2 linked regions of the Rattus norvegicus genome follow. The protein of the gene in region 1 interacts with the protein of each later gene in a biochemical or structural test. Links are inferred from orthologs where the notes say so. Each region holds a gene or a part of one and is shown on either strand. Other genes may lie near its edges.

Region 1 (6,230 bases):
CTGGTTAAGGAAAGAAGAGCAGAAGAGCTGGGGTCTCATGAGCTCCTCTTCCTCACCCATCTCCATCCCCCAAGGAGGTTCCCCAGTATGGTGGTCTTGGCCCCTCCCTCGAGAACTCCAGGCGGAGGAGGATCTTGCCTGGCAGACGCTCTGCCCTGGTGAGAAGGGGGCGGGATGAGCTTTTCTCTGCAGCCCAGCAGCAGGCTGTGAGCCCAGCTGGCTGGGCTAGAGGGGATGCGAGGAGGGAGGGTGGAGGCAGGAGGGGCAGAGAGTAAGCGCCATGTTCTCCCAGGACTTCTTCCTGGCCATCATCCTGCAGGACAACAGTCCAGGTGAGGGGCACCATGGGGCTGGGTGTGATGTGGGATGGGGCTGGCAAAGAGAGCAGAGGGGAGGCCATATAATCCGGAACAAGGATGGAATGCTGTAGCCCTAGGAGAGGAGGGGTATATACCACAGATACAGAGTCTATGTGTGTGCATGGTATATATGAGTGAGTGAGTGAGTGTGTGTGTGTGTGTGTGTGTGTGTGTGTGTGTGTGTGTGTATGTGTGTGTGTGCGCGCGCGCGCGCACGCGCGCTATCTGCACAGACATAGCAGAGGTTGATAATACATTGTATCTGAGTGTTTCCCCACCTGTATGTGCATGTGGTACTCACATGTATGTTGGGAGGTTTTGGTAATGCTGTATGTACACACCTGTTAGCAGGGCTGGCATCTATAGCTATATATAAACACATAGCTCTACACAAGTGTATAACTGGTGTTGTTATGTCTGTTTGCCCCTGAACTCACAAGCATACCTGTATGTGGTGCCTTCCAGAATTTTCTGTGCGCTGTGCACAGTTTATGGCTGTGCAGGTGTGTGGTGGGGCTTACATATATTGTGGGTCTGTGTGCATGTGGATGTGTGCAGAAGCCGGCAGTGTGTGCACCTTTTATAACTAGACAAAATGTCTATGCATGATGTGTGAGGAGGTGATCTGGGTCATTCGGCCTCCTTCTTTCCTCCTCCTTCCTCTCCGCTTTCTTCTTTCTCTCCATGTGGCCACATTAGGCAGCAGCAGGGCTAGCAGCAGAGGAGACCTGAGCCATGCTCCCCACTGGTGGCTCTCAATGTGGTGACTAAAGTGTCCGGCTCTAGAAGCAAGCAGGAATTATAATGTCCCTTTCCCAGCTTCTTCTTCTCAGCCTTGGGGTCTTGGGAAGGGGACTGGCCCTCTACTGGATGATTATTGGGTAGGCTGACCCTCACTGAGCCTCCTACCTGGCAGATTCCTTCTGGAACCCCAACGCTTTCGAGACGGATTCCGATCTACCGGCTGGATGGATGAGGGTCCAAGACACCTCAGGGACCTACTACTGGCACATCCCAACAGGGACCACCCAGTGGGAACCCCCAGGCCGGGCCTCCCCATCGCAGGGGAACAGTCCCCAAGAAGAGTCCCAGGTAAGGCTCAATGGCTTGTTGCACACCAGGGGTGGAAGGGTCTGTGCTTCTAGAACAGGGTGAAACTACCACCCTACACCCATTCTTCCTCCAGCTCACCTGGACTGGCTTTGCTCACCAAGAAGGCTTTGAGGAAGGAGAGTTTTGGAAGGTAAATAAAGAAACCAGCTTCACTCTGGGGGCTACTGGAGAGGGGGACTTCATTTTGGGCTTGATTCTTTAATTTGTTTTCAAAGGATGAACCTAGTGAAGAGGCCCCAATGGAGTTGGGACTGAAGGACCCTGAGGAGGGGACATTGCCCTTCTCAGCTCAGAGCCTCAGGTGAGTCAGATGCAGCAGACTAGGGTGAGACTGGATCTATGTGGAAGGGGTATTGGGAGGATTCTTAAAACTAAGGGTGCTGTGTCAAGTGTTCCCATCTGCCTCCAGCCCAGAGCCAGTGCCCCAGGAGGAGGAGAATCTGCCCCAACGGAACGCCAATCCAGGGATCAAGGTTTGTTCAAGACCAACACCCATTTAGTAAGCAGGCCTCTATGTGGAGGACAGACCTCATGCTGTGCTTTGAGGACATCTGTGGTCTTAGCAAATCTCCCAAGCAAGTTCTTACCAGTTTCAGGCAAGGCCGTGTGTATGCTGAACAGTCTTCTGACAGCTTCTGTGTTTAACTCAGTTGGCCCAAGGGCCTCTTAGGGACTCTTAAGGCTTAGATCAGCAGGCCATCTCTTCTGACCATGTCTTGTTTGGGGACCTTCCATCTAAGTTCAGAATGTCTCACATGTTTTATGTGCCAGGTCAGGAGCTCCTCTGTCCTGTGCCCAAGGCACCTCCAATTCCATCTCAGATCTCTACCCCGACCCTTTTCTGTGTCTGGCAGTGTTTCGCTGTGCGCTCCCTAGGCTGGGTAGAGATGACTGAGGAGGAGCTGGCCCCAGGACGCAGCAGTGTGGCAGTCAACAATTGTATCCGCCAGCTCTCCTACCACAAAAACAATCTACATGATCCGATGTCTGGAGGCTGGGGAGAGGTGAGGGCCTGAGCTGGTGAAGTGGTGGTACCGTGGGGGTGTGCAGCGAATTGTGAGATACGAAGGATTTGACTAGTCTCCGAGAGGGCTGATGGACATGGGGGTATATATGGGTTTAAGGAGCAACTCTGAGGGATGGATGTGTAACTCCAGCCTTGCACCCTGAGGAGTGGTTGCTTAACAGTGATGGGGATAAGAGTCCTGGGACAACCTTTGTTAGACTAAGGCCCACAGGTGGGCAGTCTGACAGCTAAGTAAGCCCTGCTCCTCCCCAATGGTGGCCAATGTCCCCTTTGCTGGAGAAGGCAGAACTCTGCCCCCCTCCCCCACTAGGGTACCACTGAGTCCCACCTCCTGGGTTTGCAGGGAAAGGATCTGCTGCTCCAGCTGGAGGATGAGACGCTAAAGTTGGTGGAGCCACAGAACCAGACACTGCTGCATGCCCAGCCCATCGTCAGCATTCGCGTGTGGGGCGTTGGGCGGGACAGTGGAAGGTGGGCACAGGAATCGCCGGGGTGGGGGAGGCTCATCCATCCAGCAGTTAGTCCTTTTTCTAATCTGCTCTTTGGCTCTCTTGTGCTGCCGGACCCAGAGAGAGGTATTAACGTCCATCTGCTTTGACTGTGCCCCTTCCTACTCCTGGACCGGATGCTTCGAAGCACCTAGGCTCCCTTACTGTGTGCCCTGCCCCTTCCTCACCTGCTGTCCTGGGCCTTATCCCCCACCTCAGCATGCTTGCCTCTGGCCTCCCCAGCTCCTGAAGGCAGACCTACGGAACACCAGGGCAAACCCTGTAGACTGTCATGGACAGGGAGGTTGAGGGTGGAATGGTGGCCAGGCATGGCATTTGGTGGTTCTAGGAGACACTGAGGTGACCCTCCCCCAACAGGGACTTTGCCTACGTAGCTCGAGATAAGCTGACCCAGATGCTCAAGTGCCACGTGTTTCGCTGTGAGGCACCTGCCAAGAACATCGCCACCAGCCTGCATGAGATCTGCTCCAAGGCACGGCCCCCTCCACTCCCTGAACTAGCTGTCATCTTTGCTCTAGAAGGGTGTGGGTAGGGTTGCCGGTTGGTGGGTAGTGAGGTGGGGGCTTCGGGGCCAATGTAGCTCTAACAGAGCACACACACCCCCCATTCATTCCTCAGATCATGTCTGAACGGCGCAATGCTCGCTGCTTGGTAAATGGACTCTCCCTGGACCACTCTAAACTTGTGGATGTCCCTTTCCAAGGTGAGTACCACACGCAGCCTCATAAGGCACAGCTCAGCTTTGTTAGTTAAGGTGAGGTGACCCAAGAAGAGGCACAGGATCCTGGGCAGGCATGAGCACATGGAGATGGGTGCTTGACAGTACATAAGTGGATAAGCTTGTAGAGGGAGGCAGGGGAGAAGTGGGCGTGAGGGTTGGACTAGGAAAATGCATAGTTCATGCTTTAGTGTCAGGACCTAGAACAGTGACCCTCTTTTTCTTTTTCTTCTCACAGTGGAATTCCCAGCACCAAAGAATGAACTGGTGCAGAAGTTTCAAGTCTATTACCTAGGGAACGTGCCTGTGGCTAAACCCGTTGGTATGTGTCCTCTTCCCTCAGGGGCCACCCCCTTGGTCCTGGTACTCTGTGCCCCGCCCTGTGTTTTCTATGGTTCATTCTCCTGGATTTTCTCGTTACGTGGCATCTCCTTGCCTTTCAGAGTTCATCCCACCTACCTTTGTGCCAGCCTTGTCTTGTGTCCTGCCTGTTACTCCAGTGAGCATGTTTCAGTGAACATCTAGCACAGGACTAGTGCTGAGCTAGACACGGAGGGTGACTTTCTTCCCCTAGCCCTGATCCCATGGAAGAGCTTTGCTGGGTTTAGGAGGCAGGTGTTTGGATGGCTGGAAATACCAGGCATTAGCCTGGCGCTGGGTTCAGTACAGGAGCCATACATATCCAGAGAAGGAAGCCGTAAGCATAATTAACATAGCTTTAATTTTATAAAAATATAGAGTTTTTTAAAATATACTATTTAATTTCACAGCACCCGCCTTCCTTCCTTCCTTTCTTTCTTTCTTTTTTTCTCTCTCTCTCTCTCTTTCTTTCTTCCTTCCTTTCTTCCTTCCTTCCTTCCTTTCTTTCTTTCTTTCTTTCTTTCTTTCTTTCTTTCTTTCTTTCTTTCTTTCTTTCTTTCTTTAACAATTACCTTTGAAACCTGTTGTGTCAGGCCCTGTATTGGGAAACAATGGCCACAGCCTGGTTTTCATGGAGTTTATGGGAACTTACAGTAGAATAATCAGGACCCAGTCAAATAAATGTCATAATAAGTTAAGGTCTCTGTGGAAAGGAAGCAGCAAGATACAGCAGAAGACCTTCATTTAGTCTAGGAGGCCAGAGAAGGCTTCCTGTGAAGCCTGGCCTAGTGACACCTGTAATCCCAGAACGTGGGAAGCTGGAACAGGTTGGCTGCAAGCATAGTGAGTGATATATCAAGTACCTGGCGAGCTAGGGCTACAGAGAAAGACCTGTTTCCTTGACCCCACCCCAGCCCTGTGAACAGAGGAAGGAAAGAAAGCACAGTCTTGCTTGAAAGTGTCACATGACTGAGAAGTATGACGAGCAGTGACTGTTAGTGGAGGGAGACAGACCACGGAAAGGCCAGTCTCAGCTGTATGGATGGTGTGTAAGGCTCCGGGGCAGGGGACACTGTGGTACCTGGGAAGCACTAGGAGAAGGCTTAGGACAGCAATGTGGTTTTCAAGATTAAGAGCTGCAGGGAACCATTTTCATTGGTCAGCTTCCATTACTATATAAAACACCTGAGGTGATCAACTTCTAAAGAGAAGCCGTTTATTTTGGTTCATGCTTGGTTGGCTTTGTGGCAGTATCACGTCATATAGGAGACTGTGGCACAGCACAGACACTCCTGGCCTGGGACCAAAAGGAGAAGCTGAAGTTGTGCAATTCCCATCCGGGACAAACCTCCTACTGTTTCTATCTCTTCAAGATTCTGGAGCTTCCAGAAACCCAGCAGGCTGGGAATCAAGGCTTTAACACGTGGGCTTTTGAGGGAACATTGGACCATGCATGTTTCAGGAGCATTCTTGAACAGATTTGAATACAGTAAAGCTTGCTTTGGCTGTACCTTGAAGAAAGATGTTGAGTGGGTGGAAGAAGATATAGGGCATGCAGAAGGAGCTTGCTTTTCAAGGTAGCCGGTAATGAGAGTGTCTTAGACAACAGCAGGCTGAAAGGAGTTTAAGGCAGCAGGCTTTGGTGACTGACTGACAATAGGGTGAGAAGCACAGGCATTAAGGGTGACTTGAATTGTTAAGGAGCACTTGGCATTGGACTGAATGGCTGAATGCCAACTGGACAGTGGTGCCTTTCCCTAAACGCAGCAGACACTGGCAAGACGTTAGTTTTGGTTCAGATTTAAATATGCCAGATTCAAAGTGCCCTAGGAAAAAGAATAGGACAATCAAGTTGGCAGCTGGGTTCATAGGTCTTGTCCATAGCAGGGAGCAGAGATGTTCGCCTGAGACAGAAGTTTGGGCATCGTTAGGTTGTAGAGATAGCTGATCAAAAGTATGAGAGGAGGTTGGCACCAGAGCAGGGGCAGCCCAAAGTGAAAGGAAAAATATGCTAGGCCTACCTTTGTAGTCCTCCAGTATTTAATGGCTGGGTGGAGGAAGATGAACTTCCAGAACAGTGAGGGAGGAAAAGAGGAGGGAGGAGGCAAGGAGAGGGTCCCAGGGAATGGTAGATGGAATGCATG
Region 2 (6,788 bases), on another chromosome or scaffold:
CAGTGGGTAAAGGCGTCCAATCTGCCACACATGAATATTCAATTCGCAGCCTCCAGCCCTTTGGAGATCATCATTAATCTACTCATGAGGGCAGAGAGCCCTGTGGCCCAGTGACTCCCTCTGAGGTCCCATGTTGTTGCATTGGACAGTAAGTTTCCCAAACATATTCTTTGGGAGACACACGGAAACACCATGACAAGGCTCCTCCAGAGTTTCCCCCCAGTCTGCCCCAGGAATGTAGCTGGCTTTATCTTCTTAAATGGTGAGAACCCTCAGCTTAGCTCCAGGCAGGATTGCAACAGCTAGGGAGCTTCAGCCTCTTCTCAAGGCCCACAGAGCCTGCAGGACAGCTAACCTAAGGTTCTCTCGCAACCCATCTCTAACCTAAGGTTCCCTCCCAACCCACCCATCCAACGTCCTGTCAAATGTTTCCTGTCTTGTTATCTTCCCAAGTAGGGCTGCAAGGCCATGGTGTAGGAACTGTCTCCCTTCGAGCTGTGCAACAGAATCTTACGGAGAACCACCTGAGGAGCTGAAGAACTCAATGGAGGAGTCAAAACAGAAACCCCAGGCTAACCTCAAGTTGTGAGAGCAAAATGGATCAAAGGTAACTTTTATTTCTTGCCAGAACTGAACACAGCACCCTTTGTCAGTCTCCCTTGCCAACTACTGCAAGTACTTCCACAGATAGGCATTCTGAGAAAGGTAAGGTCATTGTCCCCACAACACTCAGTGAATTCATAAAATCAGCAGCTTGGGTCCTTAGGGGTCTTTGCAATCTTTTTCTCATTAGAGAGCTCCCTGAGCTGTAGGAAGGGCTGAGGCAAGTCACCGGGGCCACTCCCATCCTCTGCTGTATCCTGCTTCCCTGTGGAGGATGCAGATCTTTTTCTAAACCAGCCTTACAATGTCTGCAGAAGCAGAGGCCCCACATTTAATGCCAAACATGCTCAAACCTCCCTGAGTTCCCCATCCATTAGGTGGGAATCCTAAAGCTCACCTTACAGGCTGCTGGGGCTCAATTGAAGCCCCAAGGTCAGTAGGAAACAGACTGAAAGGGACTTGCTCACATTTCTCCCTATTCCCACCTGTCCTTCCCCTTTCCCGAACTCAGACTTCTGAAGCCAACCTCTATTTGCAAATCAGAATGAAGGCTTTATTCCTCGGAAGTAGAAGAACTTGTGTTTTCCACCCTTCTGATACAAAACGTTACAAAAGGTTAACATTTTTTGAAACATGTGACCTCAAAAAGATTTCTTTCTGGAGGCCACCAGTCCTTGGCTTTGAGAAGTGATTCCTCATTAGTGTCAGTGATTCTAGTGGGGGCGCGGCGGAAAGACGGTGTCTTTACAACAAACCCAATTGATTATGCCCTCCAAGTCACAGAATGGCAATTTGTTAGATCCCAGGAGCAAACACCTGGCGATTGGTGGCCACAAGCAGGAAGAACACAATGCCTTGCTGGAATCAAGGTATGCAGCAACCAGGACTCTCCTGAGGACACCTGGGATGCCTTCAGTTGACCTGAGGCCCCACTATTTTCACAACTCTTAGCACGTGACAAGGCTCTTCTGTAACCAAGAGACCAATATAGATCCCAGGAAGAAGGGAACCAATACGGTTAGGAAGACTATGACCTCAGGCAATGCTAACAGTACTGCAGATCCAGGAATCCGTTCAAGATTGCATCTTTCAGCCCTTAATGCTCTGTTCTGAATGCACTGGAAAGCTGGTACAAGTAGGGCTCCATGTGCCTCAACACTCTCCCCCCATTCAGCCTTGACTCACAAATCACACCCTTTGCCCTAAGCCTCTCCACCTGCCCTTCCCTCGACAGCTCCTCCACCACCAGGGATTCTGTGGGGTCTCCGCCCACTCTGCCCGCCTAGCTCCAGGTCTACGCCCCAATCCCCAGCCCTAAACCCACGACCCTCCAGGCTTTTCGGTGGAGCTCGGCTTTGTTTCTCCCTACTAACTCCTTCTTCCAGGCCTTTCCTAGACCTAAGATCCCGAAGCTTTCCCGCAAAGGTCGCCCGGAATCTTTCCCTTGCAAACAAAAATCCTGGAATTCACTAAGTTAACCTGTTCCTCCAAACTACAGTTTCTCCCAAATTCTCCTTTGGGACCTTAGGCCACGCCCCCTGTCTTGCCCCCAGACTCCATGGCCCATCCACCCTTTCCACAAAGGTTCGCCCCACCCCTCTGGACCTGGGCCACACCCCTGTCCCGCCCCCTCACGCTCCGCCCTCTTAGAGGCGCGGACCGCCGAGCCCCGCGCCTTTTGTGTGGAGCTTCTCTGCGGCGCGCACCCATTCCCTCCGCGGCCGCGGACCGAGGGCCGTCGGCGCGCGCAGTCCCCTCTGCGGGCGGAGGGTCCCTCCGCCCCGCGTGCACCCCGCACCCCATCCTCCCGCCGCCGCCCCGAGTTTCAAGGCGGACGCGCGCTCTCGCTCCCGCCCTCGAGACCCCGCCGCTCGCCCCCTCCCCCGGCCCGTCGGCTGGCGGGCGGCACGCGCACGCGCCGGCCCGGGCACGCGCGCCCGCCAAGATGGCAGGGGCCGGGGCCCAGCTGTCAGTCGCCGCCGCCGCCGCGGCCGCGCTGCCTCGCAGCTAGCGGCCCGGACGCCCGCCGGAGAAGATGAGCCCCCGCCGCCGCCTGCAGCCCAGCCAGACGCGGAGCCGCCGCGCCCGGGGCCGGCTGCCCCGCTAGCGCCCCGTCGCGCCGCGCCTTCATCCCCGGCCCCGTGCCCGCCCGGCAGCCACGATGAGGTGAGTAGGGGCCTCGAGCGCGGCGAGGCCTGGAGCGCCGGGCGTGGAGGGCGGGGTGTCCGAGCATCGAGGGGGCACCGGAACCCTCAGCCGGCGGCCCAAGCACCAGAAGACAGTCAGGCCCCGGGGTCCGCGGGAGGCCGCGCCCGCCTTGTGCTGTCTGCCGGCTGTGAGCGCCTCAGCGGCGGTCCTGTTCACTTCGGCTTCTGTAGCTCATCTCCATCAGGGCGCTCTCATCATCACCTTTCTTTCTGACCTGTCCCCTTTCTCTTGCAAACCCGCACATTGTGTAACCCCCAAAAGGTACGGCTTTTGATGTGCCCCTCAGCCGGAACCTTGTCAACACCCAGAAACTCCCGTGCTCTCTTCATCGCTGCTGCACCCAGGTTTCCTTTCCAGACTAACCTTAGCCTGCTTTCTGGGGTGGGGTGGGGGGCGGGGCGGGGCGCATGGCAGCGTATGCCGGTTTTTTTTTTTTCTCTTTCTGTGCAATGTTATCTTCTAGATACATCTTTCTTAAAAACACTGTAGTGTCCAATTGTAGATTCGTTTCACCTGTTTTGTGAACTGTATAAATTCAATAATGCATTATGTAATTTTTGTGTCTGCCTTCTTTCATCCAAGGTATTTCTGAAGTTCATCCATCAGGTTTCTATTATCTACTGTCCTGCGTAGTGTAGACAGTCCACACTTTATCCATTCTGCTAATGTTAGTAGACTTTTGGGTTGTTTTGGGCTATTAACCGTTCGGCGAATATGCCAAAAGCATTCATTTCTAATGAATATATATTCTACCTACCCACAAGCAGGTTGTTGTTGGTTTTGTTGGTTTTTTTTTTTAAACATAAAATCATGTACATCTTTTGTTGTAGTGGATAGAACTAAAATTCCCAAAGTCATGTTACCAGTTTATACCAGCAAACATTTAATAACCCTTGTTTAAAATCCCTGACACCCCTTGGTATTGTCTGATGAAATTTTAGCCATTCTGGTGAGTGTGAAGTGACATTCCATCAGGGTTTTAATTTGCAGTTTCTGGTTGACTGAAGAGGCTGATTGTCCATCTGTGTATGTTTGGCATTTTTTAAAAATTAAGTGTCTGTTTAAATATTGTCCAGTTTTAGCGTGAGGGGTTGTCTTCTTCCTAATTGGTAGAGTTACTATTCGTAAGTGAAGAAGATAGCTTGCTAACATTTTGCAGAAATTTTAATATTTTGCTTTTTATATAAAATAATATGGTCCACCTGGAACTGGTTTTTGTGTAATGTGTAAAAGGAACTGTTTTCACATTTACCTATCATGATTTATTCCTCATCGTTTACCAAGCTCACTGTTTCCCTCAGCTGCAATGCCACCTTTGTCATCTTTCAGACTTCCTTTTGGGGTCATATCTGTCTGAAGAACGTCTTTTAGTGTCTGTCTTTCTGCCTATCGCAATGTTGGGTGTATCAGACCAAGGCAAGGGTCTTGCACGCATCCAATGATTGCTATCCGAAGCTTTTGCTTGTCTGCTTTTTGTATCTTTTATGTATATGAGTGCATGTGTGCATATACATTCCGTAGGGGCGGGGGCACACCCAGGCCTGGGGTTAGCATTAGGAGTTATTCTCCAATTTCTTCATTGAGGCAGGGTCTCTCAGTTGAACCCACAGCTGGCCACTAACCATCTGTGGTCCTGTCTCCTTCTAACAGAATTGTAGGGAGGCTGCCACACCCACCTACTTTGATATGGGTTATATGGATAGACCTTCAAGCTTGCATGGGAAGCAGTTTATCCTTGAAACCATCTCCTGTGTCTTTGTTTTTGTTGTTTTTGAGCAGGGTCTCAGGCTGACTTGGAACTTAACCATCTCCTATCTGCTGGGATTCTGAGTGTACACTGCCGGCCTGGTCCCTTTAGTATTTTTTAGTGTAGGTTCTGCTGGAGCAGATTGTTAGACTTTGTTTGAAAATGTTTATCCTTCACCTTCCTCTGGTTTATAAGCAATTTTATTGAGATATAACTCATAGCACAAAGCATCCAGGGAAGCATGCAGTTCATGGTTTTTAGACTGTCCACAGAGCTCTGCAACCATTACCATTAGAACCTTTTCCTCCACTTTAAACACTCCTTTCATTGGTTAGTTTCGGAACTCAGCACTCCCCTGGCTCCAGCTTTTCACGCTGTCTTGTAGTCTGACTTGACTGTTTCTGGTGAGGAGTCACTTGCTATGTTATGTAACGTGCTTCAGATGTCAGGAGAGTGGGGCTTGCTTTGTCTGCTTCTAGGTTTTTGGCTTTTTTTTTTTTTTTTTTTTTTTTTTTGAGATACGAGGTCACACTGTAACCCAGGCTGGTTTCTACTCCTTGGCCTTGCTCAGCCTCCTAAGAGCTGGGATGAAAAGTTTGCTCAATATCAGTCTGTTATGTGTTTTTATCTTTATAGTTAGGTTCCTATGCCTTTTTCTTCCTCCTCCTCGTCCTCCTCCTCCTCTTTCTCTTCCTCTTCCTACTTCTCCTCTTCCTTTTCCTCCTCTTCTTCCCCCTCTTCCCCCTCCCCCTCCTCCTCCTTCTCTTCCTCCTCCCCTTCCTCTTCTTCCTTTTCCTCCTCCTCCTCTTCTTTCTCTTCTCCCTCTCTCCCTTCTCATTCTTTTCTAGTCCGGGATGGGTTCTCCCTGTAGAGTTGGCTGTCTTGGAACTCTCTCTGTAGACCAGGCTGGCCTCACACTCAGAGCTCTGCCTGTCTCTGCCTCCTGAGTGCTGATTGTATGGCTTCTTGAATCTATGGACTCATCTGTTTCCTTAGCTTTTCCCGCACCAGCTGCTAGGACTGCCTTTACCCATTTTCTCTTACATTTGCTCTAGGACTGAAGTCATTCATGTGGACCATTTTATAGATATCTATTTCACTTTCCTCCTTTACCCCCCCCCTTTTTTTTTTACCTCGCCATTCGTTTTGGATGTCTCTTCACCTGTCTCTCTTCTGCTTTATAGAGACCGCCATTGAAACTATGCACTGTGGTTTTAGCTCAGTCACTGTGTCGTTCAAACCACAGTCTGCTGTCTTTTTAAGTTTCCAATTATCTGCTCAGCTTCTCAGCCTTGTCTTTTATCTCTCCCCATGCACAGTGATCGCTGCCTGTGTTTGCTACACAGTGTCCATACTCAGTCATTTCCAGGGCCTTTTCTGCTGATCTCATGCATATTGTTGCTCGTTATGTGCCTGTCTCCTCCTCCTTCTCTTTCTTCCTCCTCCTTCTAAAATATGTCCTGGCCACAAATTGTTTTTTAACATAATTTGAGGCCGAAGATGATGGTCTTGTCCCCTAGAGGTAATTCACATTTGCTCCACTGTGGGGTCTCCTTGGTCCAGTTTCAGGGACCGAATGAAATGTTTCCGAGCTGAGTTTCATTCCATAGCAGGACCAGCCTGTTCTGTTCATCCTTCCACCCTCATGATTTCTCCTCACCAACACCTGCATTCCCCACCACCCCAGGCTAAGTCTTAATATTCTTCTCAGAATCACCCCTGCTTTTAGGGAGCAGACTAGTTTGCTTTTCTGTTGCTGTGATAAACCATGCTGACCAAAAGCAGCCTGGAGCTTACTTGGCTTACAGGTTAAAGTCCATTGTCAGGGGAGCCAACAGGAACCTGTCTGCAACTGAAGCCAAGACCACCACTGCTCTGGCTTACATCCAGTGGCTGCTCAGCTGCTTTCCAATACAGCCAGAGCCACCTGTCCAGAGGTGGCCCCACCCACAGTGGGCTGGGCCCTGCCACGTTAGTCATTAATTGAGACAGTGCACCCACAGATCTGCCTACAGGACAGCCTTACAGAGGCTGTCTCTCATCAGCGGGTCCCTCTTTCCAGGTGACTTCAGTTGTGTCAAACTGACAAACCAGCAGCGTACGTACCTTCTCAGTCTCTGACAGACTACTGCAGTGGCTCTAAGCAAGCATTTGTAATCTTTTGCCTGGTGTTTATAGCTGTTAACTAGTGGATTCTTCTGATTTACTTAGTCCACAGTTATCAGAAACA

What was found.
Region 2: the proteins of Apbb1 (region 1) and Evl form a complex in vitro, tested with the Homo sapiens proteins (2 studies listed by BioGRID). The link is inferred for Rattus norvegicus from reciprocal best matches to the Homo sapiens genes APBB1 and EVL.

The regions. Positions count from the first base shown.
Region 1 is NC_086019.1:169,313,323-169,319,552, reverse strand, and holds part of Apbb1 (amyloid beta precursor protein binding family B member 1), read left to right. Parts: exon of another isoform or gene 1-37; coding exon of another isoform or gene 38-158; exon of another isoform or gene 159-280; coding exon of another isoform or gene 281-332; intron 333-1,275; coding exon 1,276-1,451; intron 1,452-1,545; coding exon 1,546-1,602; intron 1,603-1,687; coding exon 1,688-1,773; intron 1,774-1,881; coding exon 1,882-1,945; intron 1,946-2,326; coding exon 2,327-2,476; intron 2,477-2,842; coding exon 2,843-2,970; intron 2,971-3,068; coding exon 3,069-3,074; intron 3,075-3,365; coding exon 3,366-3,480; intron 3,481-3,626; coding exon 3,627-3,711; intron 3,712-3,964; coding exon 3,965-4,048; intron 4,049-6,230. UniProt on the Homo sapiens protein: Transcription coregulator that can have both coactivator and corepressor functions. Adapter protein that forms a transcriptionally active complex with the gamma-secretase-derived amyloid precursor protein (APP) intracellular domain.
Region 2 is NC_086024.1:133,236,271-133,243,058, forward strand, and holds the start of Evl (ena/VASP-like protein), read left to right. Parts: upstream 1-2,276; 5' UTR 2,277-2,764; coding exon 2,765-2,769; intron 2,770-6,788. UniProt on the Homo sapiens protein: Ena/VASP proteins are actin-associated proteins involved in a range of processes dependent on cytoskeleton remodeling and cell polarity such as axon guidance and lamellipodial and filopodial dynamics in migrating cells.